Linked DNA regions of Rattus norvegicus. The protein of the gene in region 4 interacts with the protein of the main gene of each other region in a pairwise test. Links are inferred from orthologs where the notes say so. Each region holds a gene or a part of one and is shown on either strand. Other genes may lie near its edges.

Region 1 (4,260 bases), on a different chromosome or scaffold from region 4:
AGAGTTGTGGACTGGGCTCCTACAAGTGAGAGCCATTGAAGATGGTGTTGGAAAGAGAAAAGTAAACTGTGGGTTGAGCAGCAGCCTTTTCTAGTCTACCAAGAACCTCAGAACAGAGACCCAGAATAAATCATAACCTTCACATTTAACACTACAGATAAACACAGAAAAGAGAACCAAGCACGAAATCTACACATACATAAAAAAGGAATTGATCCAGGTTGCTAAAGTTGACATTAGAAAATCTAAAAATACATATGCCTTTAATCCCAGCACTTGGGAGGCAGAGGCAGGAGGATCCCTGAGTTTAAGGGTAACCTGGTCTACAGGGGGAGTTCCAGAACAGCAAGGTTTACACAGAGAAACCCTGTCTCGAAAAACCAAAAGCAGAAATGTCTTCTAGATTTGGCAACCTTGGAAGCAGAGGAGAGGTTGAGAGCTTTTGCCAAGCACAAGCTATAGGTGGAGATAACACAGGAGCACACCAACATGTACAAAGTATTGTTTGTTTTCTGAAGAAAAGGACTCTGGACTATTTCCACCCAAGACAAAGAGCACTGGGAGAAGCAGTACAAAGGCCCCTCTACAAGCTCAGCGCACTTACCTGGATGGGGCATCCCACCTGGTGGGAATGGATGAGGATGTGAATGTCCATGACCAGGATGTCCAGCCCCTGGAGTTCCTGCTGCTGGGGGACCATGTCCTCCAGCCCCAGGTGGCATAGGTGGTGGGGGCATTGCTGGGGGTATCCCAGGAGGAAGGGCCCCAGGAGGTGGCACTGGAGGTGGGAACGAACCAGGAGGTGGCATTCCTGTTTAAGAAATGAAGGACAATTAGTGGTATCGGACAGAATGTCTTTCCCAGCATGCTACACTCCAGCTTCCTAAGGACATGCACCAACTTCTTCCCTCCCACCAGCATCCTCACTCCTCCCTCACTGCCCACTGACTTCACAGCTTACTCTTCCAGGGCTTCCTCTGCCCCCTGACCTCCCTCCCATGGGCCTCACTGGCATAGTCTGAACTACAAGCTGTACCTGGTGGAGGAAGCCCAGAACCCAGGGATGAAACCACAGGATTGGGGGCAGAGGGTGGAGGGGGTGCATCGGCAAACAGCTGATGAGGGCGGTCAGCCTGAGACAGCGGGTTCTGGGCTGCCAGAAGTCGTTCAGCTGCTGAGCCATGTCGTTCACCCTTAGAGTCCTTCTTGAAGGCATAAGACACAGTGATAGGGCGGTTACACAGGTACTGCCCATTCATGGCCTCAATTGCTGCATCTGAAGCATCAAATGAAGCAAAATTAATGAAGGCGTAACCCTTGGAGTTGCCTGTGTCAGGGTCCCGCATAATCTTGGGGGTCTGTAAGATGACTCCAAAGGCGCTAAAAGTATCGTAAAGCAACTTCTCATCAATTTCTGGGTCCAGATTTCCAATGAAAATGTTGGCTCCTACATCCAGGTTTTTGTTGTGAGCCGAGGCTTTGTTCACCCGTATTGGCTTCCCATAGAGTTTGATCATGTTCATAATCTTAATGGCATAGTCAGCATCTTCCTCACTCAAGAATTCAACAAAGCCATAGCCTAGGAAACCAATGAAAAAAGACCACTCAGGTGAAGAGATTCAAAATCAAACATTAACTCACCAGTTTGCAAACACAAAGAACAAAGCAGGTAAGGGCTGGGTGGGGGCTCATGCTTCTAATGCCACCATGCTGGAGCAGAGGTGGAGCCCTGAGTTTGAGGCCAGCCTGGTCTACAGAGCATGTTCCAGGACAGCCAAGGACTACACAGAGAACCACTGTCTTGAAAATAAAACAATAAAAAGAACATGACAGAAGAATAATCTTACTTCACTTGAGAATGGTTCCAGTAACTAGTGCTAAGAGAAACTATTCCAAAAACTGAACTGAAGCTTAAGGGGGAAAAGAACCTTTAGGTTGCTCATTCCAAAGTAGTTGTGACTGGAGTTGTGACTCTTCAGGGGCCGTTAACGCTATACAGGGTTAATTCTCGACATGTACTCACCTTGGTGCTGGCCAGTGACTCTATCCTTTGGCATGTGGGTGTTGACCACTGGCCCTGCCTGGAGAAAGAGCTCCCATAGCAGTGGCTCGCTCACTTTCTCGTCTAGACCTCCCACGTACACCGTGGCATCTAAAGGGAAGAAGCAGGAGGTAAGGAGAGGGTCAAGAGTGAAAAGTAAAATAAAAACCAAAAACGTTAACTAAAGACCCGAAATTCCCTCAGCTTCCACAGTCTAGAAAAATCCGCTACGTCTAATTTGGCATTCTTGCTGATCCTGTATTTCCGGAGAATTTTGTCTTCTTGGTAGAGGAGTATTTAAAGAGAATGGATCTAGAAGCATCACTCTTCATAGGCCTGGGCCTCCACTTGGCCTCGAGGCGAGCCAGGCGCCCAGAGGTCGGTCTCACATCAGAGGGATCTCGTCTCCCACCCAAGCAGAAATGCTTCTGGCATTAATCAGCTCTTCACTTCCCTGCCCCTATCTTGGTCTCTTTTCTCCCAATTACCCTGATTCCGTTCGGAGATCGGTCCGGCAGCCATGGCGAAAGGGCTCCCGCCGTCTCTAAGCAGCAGCACCGCCCCCCTGACCTCAGTTTCTACTTCCACTTCCGGGCCAAGGCTCACATTGGGCGGGGCCGGCGACAAGGGAGGAGCCGGAAGCGATCGCGGCCATCTTAGGAGTCAGATTCGTGTCGGACAGAAGGGAAAGGTGCTCTGGAGCTGCCGCAGCAATCGGGGTGGAACAGAAGTGAATCAGCCGGTCTTGATACAGTTAACTAAAGCCCTGAATGCTTCCAGACTGTTAGGGCATCACACTGCACCCCAAGCGCAAATTGAAATGCTAAACCAAGCTTTGTATGTTCTGTGACGCAGAGACGTGTGCTAGGCAAAGTCCCGCCATATCCAGGGCCAGGACTGCCTTTGAAAACAGCCTATTTTTAATTCGGTCCACAACGCTCGTGCAGATTCGCCCTCGGCCTAGGCTTGAGCTCGAGGTATTTTGGTTTCCCGTAAGTGTCAGAGCTCCTCCAATCTTGGGAAATTTGAGACCGAGGGTGCTCACAGGCAGGTATTGAAGCTTTAAGAGGCAGGTGTGGATCTCTGAGCTAAAGGCTAGCCAGGTCTACAGAACGAGATCCAGGACAGCCATGGCCTCACAGAAAAATCTGTCTCGGAAAAAAAAAAAAAAAAATTCCAGGCTAGCCTGATATACAGAGAGACCTTGTCTCAAAAAAGGTGTGTGTGCGTATGTGTGTGTGGGGCGGGGGGGCTTTCCCAATATTTCATGTGCATTCTGCCCAGCCCTGCCAATCCTTTATTTCCTTACAATAATAAGTGTCCTTTTCTCAGTTCACACTACCCCACAACCACCACCGCTTTGCTGAGATCTTCATTCAATACAAGAAAATACCAGCAATGTGTAGAAATACTGTGCTTTAATGAACTCCTTAAATAGAAATGCTGCTACAAAAATATACAGTGGGAGGAGGAGGTGTCTCCCTTATTCACCTCATTCCCACAGAAGACTAAGAAAAGATTTCAATGTAGTGTTGAGGGGTTGAGAATGAGGTCTCTAGGACACCTTGCTGGGGCTGATGAAAAGGGTCTCTGATATCATACTTTTGACAACCATCCAAATGGCACAGAATTGCCTCGAAAAAAGGCAATCATTCTGAATTGGTTTTGTTTCTTATTTTTCAAATCACAAGAAACAAAAATAGCTCCAGGAACCAAACGAGACAGGAGAGCTGGAGGTTGGTAGCACCATCTACAGAAACTGGCCTACTAAGTGAGCTTTACAGACTGGAATACCAAACCCGAAGCACCAAGGTCAGACATAAACATCAGCAGAAACAAACCCCCGCCCTCTGCCCTGCCTTTGAGATGGCTAGCAGTTTCAGCAGATCTGAGAAAGGATAGTATTTGGATCTCTTTTCTTGCTGTGGTCCTCCGGAGATATTCTTGGTGTCCATTTTCTTAATAGTTCCTGAAGATGAGACAGCTCATCTTGAAGGCCAGAGATTGTGAGAGCTGAAGAGCCTATCTGGGGAGAGGCAAAGGAAGGTGCAAAGAGAGATTGTCACAGGTCTAGTTCCTTTTTCTTTTTTCTTTTTCTTTTTTTCTCAGGTTTGTCTGTTTTTATTTTCAAGACTGGGGTTTCTCTGTGTAGCCCTGGCTATCCTAGAACTAACTCTGTAGACCAGGCTGGTCTCAAACTCAGAGACCCAGTTGCTCCT
Region 2 (3,500 bases), on a different chromosome or scaffold from region 4:
AAGATGAGGCACATTTAAGACAGTCACTACTCTCAAAAGCTCAATCTAAGGAAAAGAGGAGCAAATGGAAGGTGCTGCAAAAATACAGGATTGCTGTGGTCAGTGCTGAAGGGATAGGGAATGGCAAAAGGCACAGACAGAGACTGAACAGCTTCAGAAAGGCGCTGCCTGGACTGATTTTGATTTTAAGTATAAGTTAGCCAGGTTAAGAAAGCCAAGAGAACTCTGTAGCAGGGGGCACTTTAAATAAAAAACGCAGAAGTATGAGAGAGCCCACGGGTCTCACAGTGGGATTCTAGGGCAGGGAACTGAAACCCACAGAGGGAAGATACTTCTCCAAACTCATACATTAACTGGTGCCAAGGCTGGTTCTTAATCTCTCAGCCCAGTAGCTTTTCCACTGATACCCCAACCACTAGGATTTGGTGCTTCTCACATATGGTATTATATCTTTTGATTTAAAACAAATCAAGTGTAAGTATCACTATTTAAAAGATGTGAAGAGGAAAGGAGACTCGAAGGACAGCAGGAAGTTGTCCAGGCCAGACTGCTTTGTATAATGCCTTATATTATTATTTAGGGATCAGGAGTACACATGATTACACAGATGCCGAGGAGTGGCTTTTACCTCATTGTGAGGGCCCTAGCAAGGGCAATTCTTAAGACAATAAACTGAACAAACAAAAGGGTTAAACAAGAATTATTAAAAAGAACAGGAAGCTGCCAAACTAGACCACAAAGCTCTGCTTTAGAAAGCAACGTGAGCATACAAACTTGATCAAACCAGTACATCAAATCCTTTTTCAATGATTTCCCAGGCCACAAAAAAATAAATAAATAAAATAGAAAATAAAAATCAACCTACACGTACTATAATAGGTGATATGTTCTATTTATAACACATCTTGATCTGACCTTTGCAGCTCTATGATCTGGAGCAGGGTATAGAATCTTTGGGTCTTAAAAACCTTAACTGCATAAATGAAGATTATCCTGAGTATCTTCTCAGAGTAACTTCAATACAATTTAAAAAGTCAAGAAACTATCTTGCTTGTCATTTCCACACAGAACAGGCTCATAAAACATTGGTTTCCCCCCTTCCTTCTTTTTCTATAACTATGATGGCAGAATTGTCCTCTCCTAGGTCAATAGCAAGCATCAACAAGAGCACCCTTTCCACCAGGAAGAGTCGATACCTCGATCTTTCTCCATACAATACTCTAGACTACTCACAAAATAACAGCTATTGGTTATGTCCGTAACACTCAACGTGAGCTGCCCACATTCTCTATTGTCTCTATCCTACAATATACACACCCAGAGCTGGTGAACACAGACAGGGTGAAAGTTCAGATGATGAGCAAGCCTTACAGCCTATAGGTCAGGAGTTACAGAGCCAGCCAGGCACATGGCTAAAACCTAGGAGCCAGATCTTTATTGCAGCATTCCATTTCAATGATTAATCAGTCACAGACGGAGTGAAGATTCAAGAAAGCTATAAAGTGCTTACGTAATTTCTCTAAGATCTCCTCATCAGACATTTTAGGCTTCTTCTTCTGCTTTTCAGTATTCCGGGTCAAAGCATCTGGCGGAGTGGTGTTATTCTCAGTAGGAGAAATAGGAGATGTAGCCACATCCCGAGTTGGAGTAACAGGAAGTGGTTCAATCACAGACCGTGTATATACCTGCATAATCAGTGGAAATTTTGGCAAAGCAGCCTTTGTTAGCATAGTGGAACCTCTTCTGAATGTTCTAGTTAGAACATCCCAGGAACCTTCCCCCTTCCCCAGTTACCCTTTCTCTTATATGTCAAAATCTGCATTAGTCCTCTTCTGAGCCACAGCCCATTTGTCCTGGGTAAAACAACCTTCCTTTGCTCTCACTTTACAAGAAGGGTTAGTGATAGCCTTAGCACTGAAATCACTCCAAAATGGCTAGACGATGCTCAGTAAAAATTTGGAGATTTTATCATTAGATGGAAACCTTCCTCACCCAGAGTATCGACTCTGTTTTTTCTGAGATGAATCTTGTGTGTACCTGACACTTTGCAACACTTGACATTGCTTTCTATGGAGTTATTCCCTCTTGAACTGTTGAGCTCTTACCATGAACTAACTACTCTTATTCATCAAGAGGCAGAAGGGTACAATAATTTAAAACAAACTTGGAAACCTGATGGCCCAGGTTTAATTCTCAGCTTCATTACTATCTGAATGACTTCTACCAGTTTACTTCATTTCTCTGTGCTTCAGTTTCCTTGTCTATATAAAACAGTGACACCCACCTTATTTAATAATAAATCAACATGTGAGAATGACATGGCCACGAGCAGCAGATATTAGCATTCAAACCTCAGCTTTTAGAGACATTCTATTTCCTATCCATTTGTTTGTTTAACAAATATTTGCTGAGAATTTATGGTACGTCTAGCTCTGTACAAAACACTGCTTTACTCACGCTGAAAAAGGAAGTGTGAAAGTAATTGTTACAAAAGCAAAGGAGAGATGTTATTAAGAAAGGAGAAACTCTATACTACCAAGGTAAAGAAGAAAGTATTCCCAGGTTACACTCCCTTTTCTAGAAGATGTGTATTTGTCAGATTTTTATCATTAAAAATTCATAATTATTTTTTGATTATTTACAGGGTCTACTGAGACAGCACACATTACTCTTCCCTGAATCCTCTAACTAACTCCAGCCTAATAAAAAGCAGGCATTTGGGTATTTAAACAGAATCAATTAACAAATGGACCTATCAGATGTTTCAACAGGACTGGCTTTCTGACTTCCCTAGCAAAATAATGTCTCAATTTTTATTCCTATTCATGTAGAACAATTATATTCCAGATACTTAAACATTTTTGCTTCTCCACCTATAGTCCCTTGAGGAAAGATGACCTGTCTGTTCCCTCTAAAACATTCTCCTTAACTGGTTCCCAGTGCATGTCTATACACACAAAACTATATGTGGTATGTGCACTATCATGGAATGTAATCTGGACTTGGATTTAATTATCTGCTCTTAAACCCTGACATTTGCTTACTAAGTGATTATGACTAGATCAAATTACTTATCCAAACCTCGTCTGCTTCTATAAATTAGGACTTAGCAATATTTATTTCAGAGATGAATGTTAAGAAAAGCACATTTATCAATATAGTATTCAATATTTACTGCCCTCTCTCTCTGATCTTTCTGCCCAAACTATATTAAGTACCAAAAAGATAAATAACACATAGATAAGTGAGTGATAGATACATTGATAGGTAAGTAGATTTTTCTCTACTTTAGAGAGAAGACTGTGTTAAATAAGTAGGCCTGCAAACCAATGCCATACAGAAACACAAACAGGACACTCAAGGGAGACAGTGACATCTCACTGATTCAGCAGGCTACTTTCCTTAAGGTAACTTTGTGACCTACAGACAAGGAAATCCATATTCTATTTATAAGTTCTTAGGCTAAGAGATAGGCCATCTAAATGGATTTCTTCCACAGC
Region 3 (4,073 bases), on a different chromosome or scaffold from region 4:
TCCCAGTCCAGAGAGGCGCCCAGGGCGCACAGCTGCTCGTAGATCTCCCCTCCTTTCCTGCACCAGAGAGTCCTATCAGTAAATATGACCAGAGCAGCTCCTGGCTCTAACCATGGCTGCTCGCCAACGCCAGAGGAGATGAAGTGTGCACGGAGGTAGAACCACACACCCAGGACTAAAAGATACAGAAAGGGCTACAGATGGCTCAGTGGTTAGAGCACTGACTGCTCTTCCAGAGGTCCTGAGTTCAAATCCCAGCACCCCATGGTGGCTCACAACCACCTGTAATGGTATCTGATGCCCTCTTCTGGTGTCTGAAGACAGCTACAATGTATTTATAAATAATAAATAAATCTTTAAAATAAAAGATACAGAAAGGTCTCTGCAGGGTTCTGAAACACACACAATGGATGACTATCTTGGGCTACAGCCAGTAGTGTCTAAGCTGTAGCCCATGGGTTGTGTGCACGTACATACATACTGCATAACAGAAACATGTCACTGCCATGTAGAAAAAGTTCACATTTGAGAATTATGCAGTAAAGAAAAGAAAACCCAAAAAGTCCTCAAAGTGTTCTAAGTTTACAATTCACAGCTATGCTGGGATGTATGAGGCCCATGCCACGGCGTGTGGGATGCAGGAGCAGCCACAAGAGAAAAAAGTACGTGACCACAAACGTAGGAGGGTCCAGGGGCACAGGAGAGGTAACAAAGTCCAAGAAAACAAGACAAGGAGGGTAAAAAGAACCCACACATTTGTACATATCCATTCATATACACACGAGTGTGTTTGTGTGTGCATTCTAACGTGAGCATAGCACACACATAAATGTATATATTTTAACGTGAGCATAGTATACAAATGTGTACATTCTAACACACACACTCTTGGCTCGGACACCCCATCCGTCAGAGCCCCTGCTCTGAGGCAGGAAGAATGGAATGCTGTCGGTCAGTAGCGCTGACAAGCAAAGACTCAGCCAGTCACACTGGCCCTGACAACTTACTCCTGTTTCCACTGCCACACAGCCCTGAGGAAGTCCTCCCGGCTCAGCTCGTGTCTCCGCACTCTCCGCTCCCTCCACAGCTGTTTCTCCACCACAGCCTGAAGTGGGATCGGGAGAAAATGAAAGCTAGTCAGCTGCTTCACATAAAGACAGCTCTTTCAACCAAGCAGAGGAGAGGGGCTACAAGACCCACCTGTGTAGCAATTCCTGCATGATCTGACCCGGGGATCCACAGCACACGATCCCCACGCATCCGGTGCCTGCCATAGAAACACCACGGGGACCCCTGAGCTCACTTATCCTCATCCCAGGTCCCTCCAACCTTCCCTTTGGGAACGGCAGCAGCCCCGTCTCCTCTCACCAGCGCACAAAAGCATCCTGTATCGCCACTGTGAGCGCATGGCCAATGTGCAGGGAGCCCGTGACATTGGGAGGTGGGATACACATGGAAAAGGTCTCCCCTGTAGCTTGGGGCAGCCTTGCCTGGAAGGAATTAGGAAGTCAGAAGCCAGGGAGAACTGGATGTTGCCTGGGGGAACAGCACCCTCTGGTGTCTTGGGGGCAAAAATAACTTTAAGAAGGCATGGGGGAGTAGCACTCTTGGGGAAGGCAGAGGAAGGTTGATCTCTGAATTTGAGGCCAGCCTAGTCTACAGAGCTCCAGGACGGCCAGGACTACACCAAGAAAGAAACCTTGTCAATAATAATAACAACAACAATAATAATGAGAGGGAAATCAACAAAAACAACAATAATAAAAGGGAAATTCAATACGGGGAAAATGAAAAGAAAGCCAGGGGCCAAAAGAAATAAAGGTCAGCTGTGAAGTTAGCCTGTGCTCACCAAGTTCAAGGGCCACCCACTCTGTCTTAGGGACCTCGGAGAAGCCCTCTGCCGCGCACTGACCTGATACTCTGGTTTGAAGAAGCCCTCTCGCACCCACCACTGGTACCAGGCTGCTTCAACATATTGGGGGCTGTAAGCAGGAGGCAGGGGCCCGGAAACATCTGTGGAAGCAGAAGAGAGATCCACTTCTCAACCGCGTGTTAGCAGACCAAAGAGCAACAACGTCGCAAAAACATTCCCTACACTTTACCTTTCTTTTCACCTGGCCGGGTGGGGATTTCATACAATACTACTTCCTTGTGACTCCAGGCCTTAGTGGGCACTGCAGGTGTCTGCGGGGAGGAAACAATGGTGTGTGTGTGTGTGGAGGAGGTGCAATTCCCAATACACCAGTCATCTGGATCCCAGCACCAGTCTCCTTCAGCCCCTTCCCAAGTCTTGGGAGACCCAAGGACTGACCCCTGACCTTGCTCTTCTCAGCCAGCCCAGCCTCCAGGGCCGCCTGCTTCTCCCGCAGGCGCTTCTGTTTGGCTTCACGGTTCCTCCGAGAGACTGGGGAGCCGTGGGGCTCCGGTTGTGTACAAAGTGCCCGGGGCCTGGCGAGACCCCATGAGGGCCTCAGCCCCCAGAGAGGTGGCCGGAAAGAGGCCAGAGGTAAATGAGGCATCGGGAGTGTTTAGGAAGGGGTGGAGGTCTGCTCACTAGATCATGGGGTGCAGGAGGTCACGACCCTTCACTCCGGCCCGCAGGACCCTCTCACTCTACGTCCTTCCGCCTAGGGGCGGAGCGCACGGCGGGACCGCACTCTGGAGTCATTGAAACCAGGGCGTCCGGAAGAGGCGGGAGCTCTGCCCCTCACCAGGACACGAAGGTTGGGGTTCGGAAACTAGGGACACCCAGGTCTCAACCTGGGCCACGCGAATCTACCGCGAACGCCGCAGCGAACTCCCGAGCGATAGGAGCACCGCCGAGGCGTGCGCGCGTACGTGGGCGGGGCTACGCATGCGCAGAAGACTCTCGCTCCTGTGTAGAAGTGGATTTCACCGAGCTGGAATGGAAAACGTCGGCAGGCGTCAGGAGCCGCATAGCTTTTTTCCACAATTTTATTAAACAAGAAATGTCCCGATGTGTAAACAAAATACACCTGAGTTGGAAAGCTGCCCGCCCGCTCGCCCGCCCCGGGCCGGACCCAGCCGGCTCAGGAGCTGTGCTTCTGCCGCTTCCAGAAGCGCTTGACGTCGCTGTGCCCCGCCGGTGTCACCACCATCAGCCGCTTGGCCGAGTTCTCGAACACGAGCACGCCCAGCTCCCGCGCGTGGGCCAGCAGCAATTCAAAGTCCACTTGCGATAGGAACTGGTTGTACAGAACGCCTGGGGTCGGATGGGACAGGCAGGAGGTGAGGAGCGCTGCAGTGGTCTCGGCCCCTCCGAGCAGCATCCAGGCAGGAGCTGCAGGCCACAGTTCTAATTCTCTACGGACAGTCGACTATTCAACTTTTAACACCCGTGGCATCCAGACACTCGAAAAGCCAACAGAATCCACAAGAAAAAACATGCACACCCACCTAGAGAGATGGCTGAATTACCCCTCCCCTTACCCCCACCTAACTTAATCCAAACTGCACTGTTGGGGACATATTTCCTGCTACCAATATATCAAAATAAAGGATCAGTTTCCTCTCCTTCCCAGAGGGGAAACAAATATGAAATGCACAAAACCTTTTTCATTTACCATGGCGAAATTGCTGGCCTTACCTCTTTAGCCAATAGACCGAGATTAGCTCAGCAGGAGCCACTCACCTTCAGTGAACCGAAGTCTGTCCCTTTCCAGCTCCCACAGCCGAATCTGGTCTGTTATGGTGGGGGGCAGCACAGGAGTCTGCAGGACAAGGGTGAGGCTATAGGACCAGGGCAAATGCCCAAAGCAGTCTCTGGTTCCTCATCCATCCTCCCCTTGCTAGGTGCCCAGACTGCCAGCCTCCAGCCTTTGTACCCATCCATACCTGTTTGAGCATCACTGGATGGGCCCTGGTCCTTAGGAAATGGATAATCTAGGAAAACACAAGAATGTAGAAAGGCATCTGAGAGGTCACCTAATGTCCCTGAAACAGCATGTCCGTGTTCTCCTAGCCACAGCCCTCTGACGGGACCCATGCCTGCTAGCTGTTACTTCCAGGTCACGCCTGTGACCCCCTCTAGGTACTCCTGCTCTCTCCATAGT
Region 4 (4,299 bases):
CCGTAACCCTAGTGTGGCACTGCTATGTCGACCTAAAGAGTATTTTTCATGGCCTGGAGCACTGAGAATCTCAGGAAGTCTACTTCAGAAGAAAGTGGGAGGAGGGGTGGGAATGTGGGTATGGTTCCCTAAAAAGACTCTACCATCACGTTCTCTGTGATTTGTCCAAAGTGAATTGTTGAAAAATAAAAAAAGTCTTTTTTAAAAATTGCACTATTCTGATGGCCTAAAGAAATGAATTATTTTCACCAGGGCTGCATACCTCTGATAGCTTGTTTTAAAAGACTGCTTTGACCTCCTCTGAGCCACCTAACTTACACATAACAGCACAAATGTTGTCTTTTTTTTTTTTCACTTATGCCCTTTGAAAACACCCTGAGAAGTGTTTCCATCACTCATTTTTAGGAAGGAGAAATAATTCTGAAGCAACATTTGAAGTCCCTCTGGATGGGAAAACTCATTTCCTAAGTCTCTAGTGGAAGCTTCCCAGTTCTTTTGTAAAGAAGAGTTAGCTTATGAGCTTCTCCCAACACTGTTCACTGCACTGTTCCGCACGTGGGACAAGCAGTCTTGAATTCTTCAGTCATTAAGGCTCATTCTGAACATCAGAAAATCATTTCCACAAGTCATGTCAGCCCCAGTGCACACTGCAAGCCAGTCACTTAGAAGCATATGTGCCCTACAGAGCAACCAAGTCTGGTCTTGCCAGGGCAAATTAAGCTAATGCAAGTGATCAAATAAAGACCTCCAGGTCGCTACGCAATCAGTGAGTCTCATGGCTGTTTTCAAGGGGTCCAGTCTGCTCCAACATTGGAAAGAGCTGGGGAGATTTAACAAGGATCAAAGCACATTTTCTCAAACACCTGGGCATTGCTGTTTGTCGGGAATGTTCAGTACCCCAACGTACATGACAGAGGTCAGGAATATGACAGGGTCAAAGAGAAAAGGAGGATGGAGACGGAAGCAAGGACTGCTGGGAAAAGCAAAACTGAAAGCCTGGAAAAGGACTGAAAACAGACGACCAGGAGCTGGAAACCACCTTTTATAAGCTCTACCCATTTTTATGAGGTCAGTTTCTCCACAAGTGGGCAAATCACCTATCAAGTGGCCAGAGCTCTCATAGCAACTTCCAATCCTGAAAAACGGGACTCTGTTCAAGCACATTTCAGAAGCTGAGAGCAAGACAGGCAGTAAGCTGTAACTCAAAACTTTACAGCTGCACAAAGTTCTCAATTCAGCTTCAGATCACTTCGACCTTTACTTTCTTCAGTCAAAACTACAGGAACCTACCAGGAGGTGAGAAAGTTTAAGGCGGGATTGTCCCTTGTGGTCACTTAGGAAAGACCCGAAGGTCTAAAACCTTAACTGTCTAAAGTGCACCTTCTCCATGTGTCCATTGGCTGCCTTCACTACATAAACCAGGCACAAGCACGAAAGTCCTGTTTCTAAGTCTGTATCTATAAACTTGGAAAGTGAATGGAGGGAGTGCCCACAGCGCAGTTCAGATGTTCTGATAAAGTAGTGACCTTTAGACTGGAAAACCACTGTTGCTAACTATACCAAAAAACCCAGGCTTGAAACACACCCAAAATTATTCTCATTCCTCTTCAAAATCCCAGCAGAAAAGCCTTCAGTGGGTGAGGAGCAGAGAAGTCTCCAAGGGAGGGTACCAGCAAGCCACGCCCACTGGTCAATGGGCTGTTTCTTTTTGGGTCAACCAAGGAGGCGGCCTGTGCACCTCCAGCCCAAACTCGGACCTGTTCACCACACACACAGATGCAAAGTTGGCAAGACCGGCCTTAAACCTGTTAGCAAAATAAGGAAAGTCAAATACGGAGGAAGCTGCCGACCTGAATGGGCTACGGTGACAGGGCCCATTCCACTTGGCGCCCAGCTGTGTTCCCAAGCTGTTCACAATACTACTGTTAAGTCACGTCTGCTATCCATTAGCCACCACCCGCGCACACCTTCCGGGAGAATCGTTGTTGTGTATAAATAAGTGTTTTCCAAATCAAACCCCTTCACACAATGCCAAGCTAAAAGTGCTCAAAAGGGAGGTGCCATCGGGACATTAAAAGTCACACATCAAATTCTTGCAGAACCACTTGCTTAAATCGCCCTGAATAAACTAAGGGGGCAGAACAACTGGGAAAAACTTTGGTTCAAGAGGTTTAAGTCTTGGAAATGCGGGACCGGGCGCAGGGACTGGAACCAGGCACAAAAGCGCCCTGAGCCGAGGCAAAGACCTCCTTTAGAGAACGTGACAGCAGCTTTGTGCCGGATCACGAAGTACAGTAAGTTCTCCCCGGCCATCGCAGCCTCCCGCTTCCTAGCGCTGTAGCCCTCGGATCCTAGGCTATTCTTCCCAGGCACGCGCGCCCGGCGACTCGACCAAGGTTCGGTCCCACGCCCGCCGGCAGGCCAGGGTTGCTTGTGTTCCCGAGGGCTTTCGGTCCTTGGTCCCCGTTGTCTGCCCGCGGAGGGCGCCCCACCCCCACGCCAGCCCGAGGCTGAGGGAGGCGAGGGCTCGCAGGAAGGTGTGTATCCGAGGTGCGGGTGCCCGGGGACGGCAGGCCGCGCCGGGGCCGAGGGCACTAGCCGGGTGCGCAGGGGTACGCGCTCCCTGGCCCTCCCAGGGCGGCCCCGGCCCGCCCACCCCTCTCTTCCAACTCTACCGACCGGCCCAAGTTTGCAGCCCCCGCCATCGCCTTACCTCGCTGCACAGTGCACGCCGAGGCCGGAGGGCAGCAGCGCTAGTCCCGGGGCGGCGGCCGCGCTGCGCCCGCCCAGATGCCGCTCTTTGTCTGCACCGCTCCCTCCTCCCGCCACCAAGCGGACGCAATTGGACCCGGCGGACCCTGCCGGCCCGGGAGCCCCGAGCCTGCCCGCCGCCGAGCCCACCCCACCACCACTGTCGCCGCCGCCGCCGCCCGCTCGGCCGCGCGCACCGGCCTGCGATCTGCGGCGGCGACCCTCCCGCGCAGCGCCCGCCTCCGCGCGCTCCCCGCCCGCGCTCCTCCCCGGCTGCCGTGACGCCGCCCAGGGGCCGGCCCATCCCGGCGCACGCGGGGCGGGGTACCCACCTGGGAGTCCCGGCCAGGCCTAGGGAAAGCGCCGCCTGCGGGCTTCAAGCCGTAACCCGTTCTAAATTGGAGTTGGGGGCACACGGGAGGGGCTGCAAGGGAGAATGAAGGGCCACTTCCAGCACACGAGACCCGGTGGTCTCCGCACCCCGGCTGTGCCTTGGATTCTTACAGCGATCTCCCTACCCCGCCTCCCCCCAAGCATTCCCACGGCACTCTCAGCCAAACAGGCCTGGTGTCTGTCAGAAAAGTGACTTACGTGAAAATGTCACTTCCTCCCAGTAATTGCTTGTGGGCATTTTCTTTATTTATTTGCCTTGCATTTATTTACTTTCCCATCCAGACACTTTTTTACTCCACCCCACCCCCGGCCCCCCAGGCGGGACCACTTCCTAGTGGGGGGGGGGAGGAGAGGAAACCCGACCTCTGCTGCCTCCGCAGCGCCCTGGCCAGCTTCTTAAAGCCCCGGAATTCTTTAGTACAGGAGGCTGAGAAAGCTTTAGAAGGAAGTCTCTCTCTCCCAGCCTTGAGTAATAGCTAACCTGTAAGCAAACTTGGAAAGCTAGAACCCTAGAGCGAGGGGAAGGAACACATATACCTTACACACCAGAATCCAGATGTTCCTTCTCCAAGCTCCTTCACTCATGATTCCCCAAAGGAAACACTGATATTCAAATGAATTCAGTTTTCCGGTTGGACAACTCACGTTTATGTTAATGAGATTCTACCCTATCTCTTGGCTCCTCCTTATTAAGGAAGGCAGCAGCAATACACCTTAAGTGACCAGGCAGCTGCCTCCCTCCCTAAAGGAAGTTCCCAGGCATAAGTAATCTGAGGAAGCTTGGCACCATCGTCATAGCAGCCTTTGACTGTAGGCTACCTGAACTGTGTCACCTTACATAAGTCTTTCACAACTTCCTCAGCTTTAACACATGAGATGTTTACCTGCCCTCTATGTAAAGTAGCTGGCATGTAGCCGATACTAGGGCATTGGGAGGAATCAGATACAAAATTAGCATACCCAACAGTCTCTTCCAGTCAGAGACGCTAACTTCATCCTTTGATGCAGACCTCATCTTGTTACTATCTAGCTTTGCAACAATGAAAGCAGAGCTCTAATCAATAGTTTAGCCCCACTTAAAATTAGTTTATGCTAAATAAGTAGGACAACAGGGACAGGGTCTTTAAGCGTTTGCTTTGAATGGCAGCCTCAGAC
Region 5 (4,277 bases), on a different chromosome or scaffold from region 4:
GTCTCTCTATCTTGGCAATGGGAGACCCCAGCATACTTGACTTCTGCAGAATAAAACACTCTTTGCCGAATAAAACACTCTTTGCCTTTGCATACTATTTAAGTCTGGGGTATCATTCTTTGGTGAATCATTCTTCAGTGAATTATGGACCCTTACACTAATTGACAGACTGGCCCTGTACTGTCTGTCTGTCTGTCTGTCTGTCTGTCTATCTATCTATCTATCTATCTATCTATCTTCTCCTCCTCTATCTATCTATCTATCTATCTATCTTCTCCTCCTCCTTCTTCATCACCATCTATCTATCTATCTATCTATCTATCTATCTATCTATCTATCTTCTCCTCCTCCTTCTTCATCACCATCTATTTGTCTGTGTAATCCATATAGGTTCTGAACCTCTTTCTTGCTGACTGGGCCTCCCACGTAGATGAACATACAGGCTTGCAACACCAGCCCTGGCTTTTAATATTTGTATTAACTTATGATAATCAAACTGAACTGATAAACACAATCAAAATACTACACAAAGCCCAGGATTAAACTTCCCAATGAACTCTTTAAATGACAAATTGCACTTAAGGAAGCAGTAGAACGGAACCCTCTTTTCTACCATCAAAAATAGAGATAGGGTTTTAACAAGATGAGAGAGAATGAGAGGGAGGGGAAGGAGAGGCAGGGAGGAAGGAATGGGGAGAGAAAGGGAGGGAGGAGGACGGGGTAAGGAAGGAGGAAAAGAGGGAGAGGGAGGGAAAGAAGGAAGGAGATGGCAAAGAGTCATAGACTGAGACAGATAGGTCAGCTAGGGTTTAATAATTCCAATCATTCTGGTATCCAAATGTAAACCCCTACATTTTAGGAAGTCAGACATAACAATTTTGCCAGACAGCTGTTCAGAGAAGGACAAGTACCTGTCTGTTTTTTCTTTAAAGGCCAAACTTACATTAGCAATTTTAATAAGCCATGATTGCCTTCGTACAGAGCTTACATAGGAATAAACAGGAATCACGCAAAGGCTTGGGAAAGGGGAAGAAACAAGGTAAACTGACTTCTACCACTGAGTTAGGCGGTGTGTTACTTTCCGTTAGTAATTTTCTTCCTGTTCCTTCCTCACATCTACATTTAGGCTCGCAGAAAGCCAGAGGGGTAGAAGGGAAAGCCCGGCTGGACAGGAAGAGGAAGCGAACAGGAAGCGGCGCGGGGTCCTTGCGAAGGAGCCCTCCGTGCAAGGGAGCAGAGAACTCAGTTCCGCCGCGGTACCTCTCAGCTCCGAAAATCTGCGCAGTTTCCGCAGGGTGGCTTCCCGGAGAGTCTCCATGGCCGACTTCCGGGAGCCCACTTAGCACGCATGCGCACTCCGAAACCGCGCACGCGCCCGCCTCCGCTGTGCATGCCACGTCACTGCGGCTCTGGAAGCGCCATGAGACCTGGAAAGCTAGGATGGCGTGAGCGTGCGCAAGCGGCGTTTCCTAGGCAACGCTCTGTGGGGCAGATGGGCGGGCACCTAGCGGTGCCGGGCTGCGCGGGAGCAGTGGGTTCCCGCTTTACCACGTCTGACAGCCCGTCTGCGCCAGAGGAGACCAACCCTCCCACGATAGTGGATCTACCACCCAGATGCTGAGGTGACCTGCCCTCACCAAGCTCCTATTCCTGTCAGAAGCCTCCCAGGGAGACCAGGTCCCTGAACCACAGGCTCCGCCTTGTGGGATGTATCTGGTGGGCCAGACCACCCTGTGCCCTTCAGTTGGCCATCTTCCCAGGCTCAGTTCTGAAGTAGCGCCTTTAGGCAGCAATGGCACACTCAGTTGTATTCACTTGCTTCTAGGAGATTGCCAGAGATTGGGAAGAGCCTCTTATTGAATGAACACACTTTTGGCTGGTTGGCTCGTTATGTCTTTCTCTCATAGAGCTCGTAGTTCATATGGGTACTACAGGTTAATCTCTTTTAACCTTACACACAGGACATAGAGAGTAACAACATTTAAGGAAGACATTTCAGTCTGAAACCCGGAAACCTTACCCCTACAATTTGACTTGAGAAGTTTCTCTTCATTAGAATCTAACTCAGAATTCTGAATAGCAGCTCCCTCTGAACTTAAGTTTCTGAGTAAGCTTAGTTGTACATTTAAAGTCTTGACCTCAGCATTTAATTCCGTATTTAAAGTGAACAAGTTTGTGGGGAGGAGAGTAACAACGATAGAAGTCAGAGTTTGTGATTTATATTCTTGAGTGAACTGGAGTCATCCCAGATTTTGGTGACCTGCATTATGTTTAAAGAGGACACACTGAAGTGTGTCAGTGGGTAGGGCAAGAATATAAGCAGAGAGGTTTATTTGGAGCTTACTACAGTAGCACAACCAGGAGAGATTCAGTGGGAATTTAAAAGATAATAATGGGAGGTGGGAAGAAATTGCTTAGATTCTAGAAACACTTTAAAATGAAGACCAGCAACATCTGTCCACTACATGATGAATCGTGTACACTTCTACACGAGTGTGAATCGTGAGAGAAGTTACCAAAAGATGCCTGAAAGTGGATGACAGGGCCTTTAAATGAGCTGAGGGAAGGTATGCATGGAGAAGCATAGTGAAGTCATAAGAGAAACCCTGTAATAATACTGGATATGTAGAACAAAACATGTGCAAATATAGCATAAATTGTGTGTTTGTGTGCATCATGTATGGTGGTTCTGGAGAGCAAGATGGGTCTGGCTAGAAAAATTTGTGAATTGTCAGAATGGAGATATAATTTATTTTCAGTTACAGTGCTAGGTTGGGATCCAAGGGGAACAATAAAGGTAAAAAAGGCCCACATATCTGAGTACCGCACATTCTTGTGGAAGTGGAAAACAACAATGTGACCAAATTTAAATGTATTGTATAGTATTTCACGCCCACCCTTCCATTCCGTGCTGAAGTGTGCCCTGTCTTGAACTTGTGCAGGCCTCGGGTTCTGTTACAGCTGCTGTGAGTTCATGACTGCAGCTGCCCTGCTGTGTCCAGAAAACAGTTTCCACCACCTCTGGCACCTCCCTTCTCCAAAGATCCCTACCCTGAGCCTTGGGAGGAGAGGGTATAATATATCAGTTTCAGAATTTGAGCATTACATAGTTGTACTCTCTACACATTGACCAGTTGTGAGTCTCTGTGTTGTTAGCTACACGTTGCAAAAAGAAACCCTTCTGATGAGGGCTGAGTGGTGCACTAATCTATGGGTCTAGCAATAGATCGTTGGGAGTTAGCTTAGTGCTATGTCTGTCAGCAAATTAATAGTAGGTTCCCTTCTAGAGCTTTATGATCTGTCTGGCCACAGGTTCTTGCTTCTAACAACAGTGCCAGATATGGGCTCTATGTTATGGAGGGTGACTTAAATCCTTAAATTCAAATCAGAAAGTTGTTGATTACCCCTGTGAAATTCTTTTCACTAGTGCGCCATTAGGTGTCCCTTACCAGGTCAGTCTTTATAGCTTATCCAAGACCTATTTCTACCTGAGGGACTCTAGATCATTCATAGCTGCTGGGAGAGGCTGAGTCAGTTTTCTTTAAGGCCGTGGCATCTCTGATAGGTAAACCATGCTTTGGTAGGTGGCCCCACCCATGAGGATATTGACGGCACAAAATAGACCCAATGACCTTTGACAAAAGAAGAGAGGCAAAGCTGTTTGAATGAGTATGTTGCATTGTCTGGAAAGTCGTTTTAAAGTAAATAAGATGGAATCATTAGCATGATGAATAATTGGAGATAAAAGCTTCATATACAGTGATGTGGCCATATGAAGCTACACGTCTTACATAGTGTTTGTGTACTGATGCAGTGAAGCACGTCACTTAGAGAGATGGACTCCTGATGCCGTATATGGATGGATGCTGATTGTATAAACAATAACAAGTCATGTGGCTCCCCTGGAGAATACATTGTAAAACACATAATTGGTGAAATACCAACATCCAAAATAATACAAGACACTCAAACTCAACAGTAAGCAAACAGCCAGCCAAAATACAGTCAGAAGATTGAAGAATACCTCATTGGAGGACACACTCAGACGGCAAAGCAACAAATAGAAAGATGTTCAATATCAGACATTTGTAGGAATTTCAAATTCAAAATCTGAGGTACCCCTATACAGCTATCAGACTGGCCATAATTTAAGATACCAGTACACCAAAAAACTAGTAAGAATGTGAAAGAATAACGCTTCACCTTGTTGCTGATGGAAACACAAACTAGTGTTTTTAAAGACAAGCAGTTCACGGCGAGATAAAGCATATATATGA
Region 6 (3,994 bases), on a different chromosome or scaffold from region 4:
TGACCTTGAACTGATATTCCTGCTTCCGCTTTCCCAAGTGTTCAGATTAGAGGCTTGCATGCCCATCTTAGGCTGTTTTCTTTCTTTCTTTCTTTCTTTTTTTTGGCTCTTTTTTTCATTGCTGGGGACCGAACCCAGGGCCTTGCGCTTCCTAGGTAAGCGCTCTACCACTGAGCTAAATCCCCCTTAGGCTGTTTTCTATAGATACTCTCACTGACTCTGAACTTCTGCAGTACGGCCTACTGTACGTTTGCAAACCTCCTCGAGTAGCGGACGATCAGCTGTGAAGCCTCAGACTCTAAAGCTCTGTTAATGATGACCACCTAAATAAAGTTACTGATCGAATCACAAATAACAAAGCTCTGGCCTGACAGAGGCTCCACACTCCTAGTTCCTGGCTTCGATTCTGAAGGTAGTTCTGTGTTGGATGTCTCATAGATAAATGTCCTTCACATATGTCCAAAGGATCAGAGAAATAACCAGACAGTTAACCAAATGAAATTACACTCCAAGAACAGTCAAGTCAGAAAGTCAAACTAAATATCCAAGTAGGATGTAGGCCCCAAAGGGAGGACGTTCACATCAAAGTCTATCACTAAGGCTGTACAGCATATAAACTCCATGTTCAGAACTTAAACCTGTTTCCCAATCAATAAAATGAGAATAGCAAACATCAAACTCACAGTGTCTTTGAATTATAAATGATAATCTATAAAAAGTGGCCAGCACAGTTCTGACTATATGTAAGGTGTCCTGTGAATATTAACTAATATGCCTGTGGTAATGAAAGTTCAAAGACACTCTCAAACTTGAGCAAGATGTTTTGCCCTAAGAGCCTCTCTCTTTTCTGGTTAATACATGAGACTGGGTGCGGAGAAAAGCCAACAAAGCCATATCCTAGGAGAGGTGTGGAAACCATTGAGAGACAAGTGGTTTTTGTTTTTTTTTTAATCTGACACTTGGCTATTTCTATGCTCCTGTTTCAGGCCCTTCACTTGTTCTTTAGGTCTCCATTTCTTGCAATCTTAAGTCTTACCCATGTCAGATTCATCCAGAAGAAAACAGTACTGGCAGTGAAGCACTCCCTGTCACTAGTCCCCCTATCCTTAAGCCACAAAGGAAATTAGAGGATCCTTCTCATTTACCCACCTTGAAGTCAGTGCTTAGACAGGGAGAATCAGTTTTCAATGACAAGGTCCTGTTAGGAGAACCCACATCCCGTCCCCAATTCTCTTTACCTCCTTCCCATCCTAACTACATCTGCCTCCTCTCTTTTACTCACCTTGTACTCCTGCACTACCTCCTCCAATGGCACCACACTATGCTGTTTGTGGCTCCTGGATTCGCGGCACACCACACAGATGGCTTCTTCATCCACCTCACAGAACAGCTTCAGGGCTTCTTGGTGTCTGGGACAGATGCCTTGTTCATTCACACGACTCCCTCGACCAGGGGTTGGATGCATCTGCCGAATCACCTGGACCATGTTGGCCAACTGCAGGTTGGGGCGGAAGCTCCGCCGAGGAAAACTTTTTCGACACTGGGGACAAGTGAAGCACCTCCGAGGGGCTGGAGGTGGTGGCAGTTGGGTGATCGGGTCCAGCTCCTCTTCCTCGTCTTCCTCCAGGACTTCCTCCTCCTCATCCTCATCTTCCACCCTCAGGTCCTCCACATCCCCCAAGTAATAGTCCAGTTCTTCCTCCTCCTCCTCCTCCTCCCACACATAGTCCATGTTGTCCCAGTTAGACCCGCCTATACCACTACTCCAGAACACACCTTCCTCTTCCTCCTCGGCCTCCTCCTCCATGTCACCCTCATAATCTTCATCGCGCATAGGGGTGTCCCAACCCCCGCCTGCCCCGACAGCCTCCACTTCTTCCTCCTCTCCGACCTCCTCCTCCTCCTCCCGATCCAACTCATCTCTGTCTTCTTCATCCTCCCCGCCCCACAACTGGGTTACACACACTCGGCAGAAGTTGTGCCCGCAGCCGATGGACACGGGGTCCGTGAAGTAATCGAGGCAGATGGCGCACACCGCCTCCTCCTGAAGGGTCTGCACAGGGTTGGGTGTCATGGCAACGGCAGCCATCTTAGTGTCCAGTCAGCCAGTGTAGAAGTGCGGTGGGGGGAGCGGGGGGGTGGGGCGGGGGGGTCTCCCGTCTCTGAAGCCCAGAAGACCCGTCCCCACCCCAAGCCCAGCCTCTCCACACCTTGCCTGCGGCGAGGCAAAGGAATGTCCTCCGACCAGCCCGCCCCTCCACACACAGTCCCCTACCCCGAGACGACAACCTTGTCTCACAGAAGGGAGGGGACAGAGGTGAGTACCACCGACAAGTACCTCAGGTGGACCTGAGTGCAAATCTGCCCCAACGCTCCCCTGGCCTCCTCATAAACCCCCGCCCCTCCTCACTTCCTGGCCCCGCCCCCCAGCTTCCGGCCTCCCTCCCAACGCTTCCGGCGTCTCCACACGACCTGAACTCACGAGTTCCCTTCGAGGGTGTGTTACGCCCCCTTCTCCCACGCCCAGCCCCGGAGCGACAGGAAACGAGGAGGAGACGCTCTAGCTGACACGCGGGAACAGGACGGGAGGGCTAGGACGGCGGAGGCCCACATCTCGGTGATGACTGGCCGCGAAGAACGCGTACAGAGCGGAAGAAGCCCCCATGCCCTGCCAGCGGGGACAGACGGCGGAGGGTAGCGAGGACGTTGAGCAGCGCCCTGTTCTCCGTGCTACAATCGCAGCGGCCTAGCGCCATCCTACCGACCAGGCACGGACGACTGCAGAAGGGACTCCCAGGACCAGAGCCGGAAGCTGAGGGGCGGGTCCGCTCAGCGTCCTCCAATGTTTCCGGCCCCTCTAGACCCAAAACTTGTTCGTTTGAGACTCCGGGGGTCCCTCCAAATAGGATCTTGGGCGGAGCCTGACGGCATATGATGAGCCTGGAGTTAGAGGGGCTCCGCCCTCCTTCTGTGCTGGGCATTTTCGTGTCCGTTTTAGGAACTGCAACATTGCCGGCGAACTACAGCACTCCTATAAACCCAGCACTTGAGAGGGTGAGGCAGGAGAATTGTGACAAGTTCCAGGTTTATCTAACCTGAACTGCAAAGTGAGACCCTGTCCCAGACAACAACCAGCAACCAGTCAAAACAAACAAAAAACAAAACAAAAACCCTGTCAACTGGTCACTTCTCCCATTACTTATTATTAATATCCACGTTCATATTAAATGGAACACTGTTCAGCTATATAAAAGGAATCTTCGGAATAAATTAAGTAAAAAGTGCAGATTGCTGAACACTGGAGTATATAGGAGGGCAAGTAATGTTAAGTGTATTTGGTACTTTGAATGTCTACACAAAGTAAATATGTAGTAATATAAAATAAATCATACAAAGTAAACCATAGTTGCTACCTCACAGAATTTCGTGAGGATTTTGAGGTGTTGAAGTTAGCTACTCTACCATATTCTCGTCTGTGGAGGGAAGAAGACAGTAGAATTTCTCTAGGAAGGCTGGCCAGTCAGTAAAGACACTTTTCCGATTACGTAGTTCTTTGTATATCCTTTGGAACAAGTCCGTGTGTTCTCTTTAGAAATATCTTCCAAGCGTAATGGGGTTATTCCAATTTTAATACTTTCTGTGGGCCGTGCACACCTTTCATGTCGTTCATCCGAAATGCTTTTGAGATTTGTATTCCTGAGAATTTCAGTCTAAGGGGAAGAGGCGTCCCGAATTGTGTTGTGGAACTTATTTGTGAGAGAATCCTATCCCTGTGGTCCCCAAAGCATTTCTCTTGCAGCTTTTTTTTTTTTTTAATCTCGTTTTTGTTAGTCTGGGGGTCATAAATAATTGATGCACCATATCCTCTGAGCGCAGATTTAGTTGGGTACCGTGACCTCAGAACACCTCTAATTGAACGTACTAAGATCATGAACCTTAGTGGGGCAAATCTGGTTTTAGGAAGTGGACGCAAGCCTGTCCGATTGTAGCTTTA
Region 7 (3,500 bases), on a different chromosome or scaffold from region 4:
GGTGAGGCTTTCACATTGTCATCTCTTCTCAGATACTGTCCTCAGGGTCAACAATGTGGAATTCTCATGGTCTTCGTGGGGAAGGACCTAAAGCCCTGAACTATTCCACAGCTGTTTGACCTGAGAAGCTAGAAAGAGTAGGTTAGCCCATAATCAGCTCTTGAACATTTCCTGGGCTCGGGATCAAACTGTCCACATCCCAGTACCAGAGAGGAAGGAGTAGGAAGCTGTCAGGTACACCAGAGCCATGACCGACATCAAAGCTGGAGTTGGCCTAAGTAGAGCTGGCTGGAGAAGCAGTGGCCACTCACCAGGCATGGATGACCCTGACAATGTTCCTACTTGGATTAAGTTATGGCAAGCGGGATCCTAAAATGGGTCCTCAAGTCCCGACACCTCAATCTTTAGCATTGCCAAATAGAAAGTCATCACTTTGATGGTTCTGTTGCAGACCTTGAGACGCGATGATCCAGTTCTTTTTAAAAGCACAGAGTCTTCTCTGTCTTCTGACAGAAGAGAAAGTCAATTTCAAAGTGTGCTGGGGACTAGCTGTGCCTGCTGGCATCACAGTACAGGGACTGTGGTAAGAAGGCACGTGGGCGGTCTCCAGGAGCTGTGGGCGGTCTCCAGGAGCTGAGGGCACCTTGGCTAGCAGCCAGCAAGAAATATGGGCCACCAGTCCTGCCCTGCAAGGGGCTGGCTCCTGCCTGCACCCCTAGAGAAACTTGGGAATACACTAGTCCTCATATTCTAGAAAAGAATTTAGCCTGTTTACTGAGATTTTGATTACAGCCATGCTAAGCAATATGTACTCCAGAGGCTAGGAAAGGGGTCTCGCTAAACAATGATCCAACAGGAAGGGACCAATCTCCCCTGGAAGGGACCTCCCCTGGAACTTTGACCCCTAGTTAAGCAAGTATGGGTTAGGTTAGGTTTGGGTAGAGAGAAACTTGGGTCTTTGTGGCCTTTTGTTCTTTCCTCTTCCTAATCTTAGCATTCTGCCTGACTTCCCGGGGGTCTCAAATCCCTTCAGAGCTTTCCAACTGAACCAACTGACTCCTTCTTCTCCTTAGCCCCAGGCCCTGAGGATCAGCACCTGTGAAGGACATTGTCACCCACTTAGGGGATTATGGGAGCTGACACATGTCTGACCTTCCCAGGCTACCACGCTTACCTCCGAGGAAAGCAGCTGGAAGGCTAGATTCACTGAGGGGGCTTCTCCGTTGATGGTTTTTAGGTTGGTGTCCTGGGGAGGAGAAGGCGCATTAAGTCCACATGGCCAGGCCAGCTTCAGGCAGGCCTCTGCTCCACCTCTTGTTTTGGCTTCTCCAGGACGAGGGAAGGTGCCAAGGAGTGTGGGTGGGATACCAGAGCTGGCCTTCTGCCTGTTCCTGCCCTACTTCCATGCCGAGCTCTCACTCCATTCAAACCTGACTGGCACCTCCACACTCATCTTTTGGCGGAGCAGAAGTTTCTGCTTGCTGTTATGTCAGAAGTATTTAGGGAAACGGTGGCTCAGAAATAGACAACGATGCTGGTGGCATATGCCTGTAATCCCAGCACTTGGTAAGTGGAGGCAAGAGGGCCGGGAGCTCAGTTACCACTGGCTACGTAGCAAGTCTGAGGCCAGCCTTGGATACCTAAGAACCGGCCTCAAAAAGATAAGGGAAAATAAATGTAAAAGGTGATAAAATAATGATATGATTTCCCCCATATTTTTCTAGTGGGGATTGAACCTTTGGCCTTTTGCAAGCTTACACACTAGGCAAGTACTCTTCCACTGAAGCTGCACCCCAAGCCTCGGTCTGATTTTATTTTATTTTTACTTATTTATTTATTACTTACTTCTTTAAGATCCCCAGGATAGTCTCAAACTCCATCTGTAGCCCAGACAAGCCTCAAAGTTTCCATTTTTAAATTTCACTTCAGAATTTACAGGCCTGTGCCACCAGGTCTGACATTAGTGAGAATTTATTCTAAGTGCTTTATGTAGTTCCTGACCAAATTCCATAGCAATTGTGTGAGCACTCTTCTCTGTGTGTGTGTGTGTGTGTGTGTGTGTGTGTGTATGTATGTATGTATATGTGTGAATGTATGTGTATGTATGTGTGTGTGCATGTGTGTGTGTGCATGTGTGTATATTTGTATGTGTGTATGTGTGTGTATGTGTATGTATGTGTGTGTGCATGTGTATGTGTGTATGTGTGTGTGTGCTCGAGTGTGTGTATGTGACTATGTGTTCATAGATAAGAAAACTGAGGCACAATACTAAGTATTTTTCCCACAGGGAGAAGTATAATCACTTGAAAGCAGGCTCACGGTGAAGCCAGAATTGGAGCTCAGTCCCTCTGTCTCCAGGCCCTGAGTATAAACCTCTGCTTCCTGTGTCCTGGGTGTGTGGACAGAGGTGAAAAATGAGGTCTTGGGAGGTTGTCAACTGTCCCAGGTCCTACAGGAAGGTGGGGTAGGGAAAGCCTTGGACCCTGCCTGGGGAAGCCTGAGCTCTTACTGTTATTCTCCGAGGCCCCAGGTTTGCTTTTCTGGGGGCTCAGCCTGGCTTGTCACCCCAGCTGCACAGCCTTTGGTGCTCCTCACACGTGCAGGCTTCCTTGGGGGGTGCTCTGATAGAAGCTGTTAAGAAGCCACATTTACCTAGATGGTGGTGCCTCACGCCTCTGATCCTAGCACTTGGGGGGGGGCAGAAGCAGACTGATAGCTGAGTTCAAGGCCAGCCTGGTCTACAGAGTGAGCTCCAGGACAGCCAGGGCTGCACAGAGAACCCCTGTCTAGACAAAACTTTCCCCCCAAAAGCTATATTCTGTTCTTTAGGTGTGGCCATGGAGTAGGGGTGGGATGGGGCCCTGTGGGGGACCAACTAATAGTAGGGACTTACAAAGATGGGGAGTCGCTCCACTTGCAGCCCTTTCAAGCCTTTTCCTGTCAACATCTTGCGATATAGATGAGACTTCAGTGGTAACACGGAGACACCCAGGGGCTGGTTGAGGGTCCATGGTTCGCTGCTTTTCACTGTGTGAGGAAGGGCCAAATGAGGTCCTGTCAATGACTACCTGTTCGTACTGCCCCAGCAGATGGGTTTTTAGGTATTACCCAGGCCCCATCCTTGGCTATGGACAGGAAACTCTCTGGGCTCCAAATGACTACTTCCCTGCCTCCTGTTTCCCTTACACGTGCACTCACGCACACACATACACTCACACACACACATACACTCACACACACATGCACACATGCACGCACGTCCGCAGGCATGCACACGCACTTGCATGCACACACACTCTGCATCTTTGGTTCTTCAGAGATTTATCAGCTCAGCATGAACTCTAAACAGATTCTGAACCCATTGGTATTTATCTGGATTGCCCTGACTCTGCCCTCTGGGTGAGTGTGTTCCTCAATTTAGACTATGGGGCTGGACTTGGGATCAGCTGTTTCCTCTGCTGTTTTCCCAGTATACTCTCCCCTCACTGACAGAGACTTAT

The links.
Region 1: the proteins of Nck2 (region 4) and Sf3b4 interact in binary tests that used the Homo sapiens proteins (3 or more experiments, as listed by UniProt). The two-hybrid records come from large-scale screens. The link is inferred for Rattus norvegicus from reciprocal best matches to the Homo sapiens genes NCK2 and SF3B4.
Region 2: the proteins of Nck2 (region 4) and Pak1 interact in binary tests that used the Homo sapiens proteins (3 or more experiments, as listed by UniProt). The link is inferred for Rattus norvegicus from reciprocal best matches to the Homo sapiens genes NCK2 and PAK1.
Region 3: the proteins of Nck2 (region 4) and Vars2 interact in binary tests that used the Homo sapiens proteins (3 or more experiments, as listed by UniProt). The two-hybrid records come from large-scale screens. The link is inferred for Rattus norvegicus from reciprocal best matches to the Homo sapiens genes NCK2 and VARS2.
Region 5: the proteins of Nck2 (region 4) and Lrriq3 interact in binary tests that used the Homo sapiens proteins (3 or more experiments, as listed by UniProt). The two-hybrid records come from large-scale screens. The link is inferred for Rattus norvegicus from reciprocal best matches to the Homo sapiens genes NCK2 and LRRIQ3.
Region 6: the proteins of Nck2 (region 4) and Trim41 interact in binary tests that used the Homo sapiens proteins (3 or more experiments, as listed by UniProt). The two-hybrid records come from large-scale screens. The link is inferred for Rattus norvegicus from reciprocal best matches to the Homo sapiens genes NCK2 and TRIM41.
Region 7: the proteins of Nck2 (region 4) and Ccdc33 interact in a two-hybrid assay, tested with the Homo sapiens proteins (2 studies listed by BioGRID). The two-hybrid records come from large-scale screens. The link is inferred for Rattus norvegicus from reciprocal best matches to the Homo sapiens genes NCK2 and CCDC33.

Annotation. Positions count from the first base shown.
Region 1 is NC_086020.1:186,420,207-186,424,466, reverse strand, and holds the start of Sf3b4 (splicing factor 3B subunit 4), read right to left. Parts: upstream 2,801-4,260; 5' UTR 2,564-2,800; coding exon 2,530-2,563; intron 2,153-2,529; coding exon 2,024-2,152; intron 1,580-2,023; coding exon 1,037-1,579; intron 812-1,036; coding exon 605-811; intron 1-604. Other genes in the region: Mtmr11 (myotubularin-related protein 11), read right to left, coding at 3,921-4,067. UniProt on the Homo sapiens protein: Component of the 17S U2 SnRNP complex of the spliceosome, a large ribonucleoprotein complex that removes introns from transcribed pre-mRNAs.
Region 2 is NC_086019.1:161,612,950-161,616,449, reverse strand, and holds part of Pak1 (serine/threonine-protein kinase PAK 1), read right to left. Parts: intron 1,686-3,500; coding exon 1,511-1,685; intron 1-1,510. UniProt on the Homo sapiens protein: Protein kinase involved in intracellular signaling pathways downstream of integrins and receptor-type kinases that plays an important role in cytoskeleton dynamics, in cell adhesion, migration, proliferation, apoptosis, mitosis, and in vesicle-mediated transport processes.
Region 3 is NC_086038.1:3,080,635-3,084,707, reverse strand, and holds the start of Vars2 (valine--tRNA ligase, mitochondrial precursor), read right to left. Parts: upstream 2,801-4,073; 5' UTR 2,520-2,800; coding exon 2,319-2,519; exon of another isoform or gene 2,312-2,318; intron 2,185-2,311; coding exon 2,103-2,184; intron 2,014-2,102; coding exon 1,913-2,013; intron 1,491-1,912; coding exon 1,369-1,490; intron 1,268-1,368; coding exon 1,201-1,267; intron 1,106-1,200; coding exon 1,008-1,105; intron 58-1,007; coding exon 1-57. Other genes in the region: Gtf2h4 (general transcription factor IIH subunit 4), read right to left, coding at 3,051-3,223, 3,653-3,731, 3,856-3,903. UniProt on the Homo sapiens protein: Catalyzes the attachment of valine to tRNA(Val) in a two-step reaction: valine is first activated by ATP to form Val-AMP and then transferred to the acceptor end of tRNA(Val).
Region 4 is NC_086027.1:53,205,480-53,209,778, reverse strand, and holds the start of Nck2 (cytoplasmic protein NCK2), read right to left. Parts: upstream 2,801-4,299; 5' UTR 2,714-2,800; intron 1-2,713. UniProt on the Homo sapiens protein: Adapter protein which associates with tyrosine-phosphorylated growth factor receptors or their cellular substrates. Maintains low levels of EIF2S1 phosphorylation by promoting its dephosphorylation by PP1.
Region 5 is NC_086020.1:246,777,506-246,781,782, forward strand, and holds the start of Lrriq3 (leucine-rich repeat and IQ domain-containing protein 3), read left to right. Parts: upstream 1-1,477; 5' UTR 1,478-1,622; intron 1,623-4,277. Other genes in the region: Fpgt (fucose-1-phosphate guanylyltransferase), read right to left, coding at 1,261-1,318.
Region 6 is NC_086028.1:33,684,633-33,688,626, forward strand, and holds the start of Trim41 (E3 ubiquitin-protein ligase TRIM41), read right to left. Parts: upstream 2,801-3,994; 5' UTR 2,090-2,800; coding exon 1,283-2,089; intron 1-1,282.
Region 7 is NC_086026.1:67,371,986-67,375,485, forward strand, and holds part of Ccdc33 (coiled-coil domain-containing protein 33), read right to left. Parts: intron 3,028-3,500; coding exon 2,894-3,027; intron 1,247-2,893; coding exon 1,175-1,246; intron 1-1,174.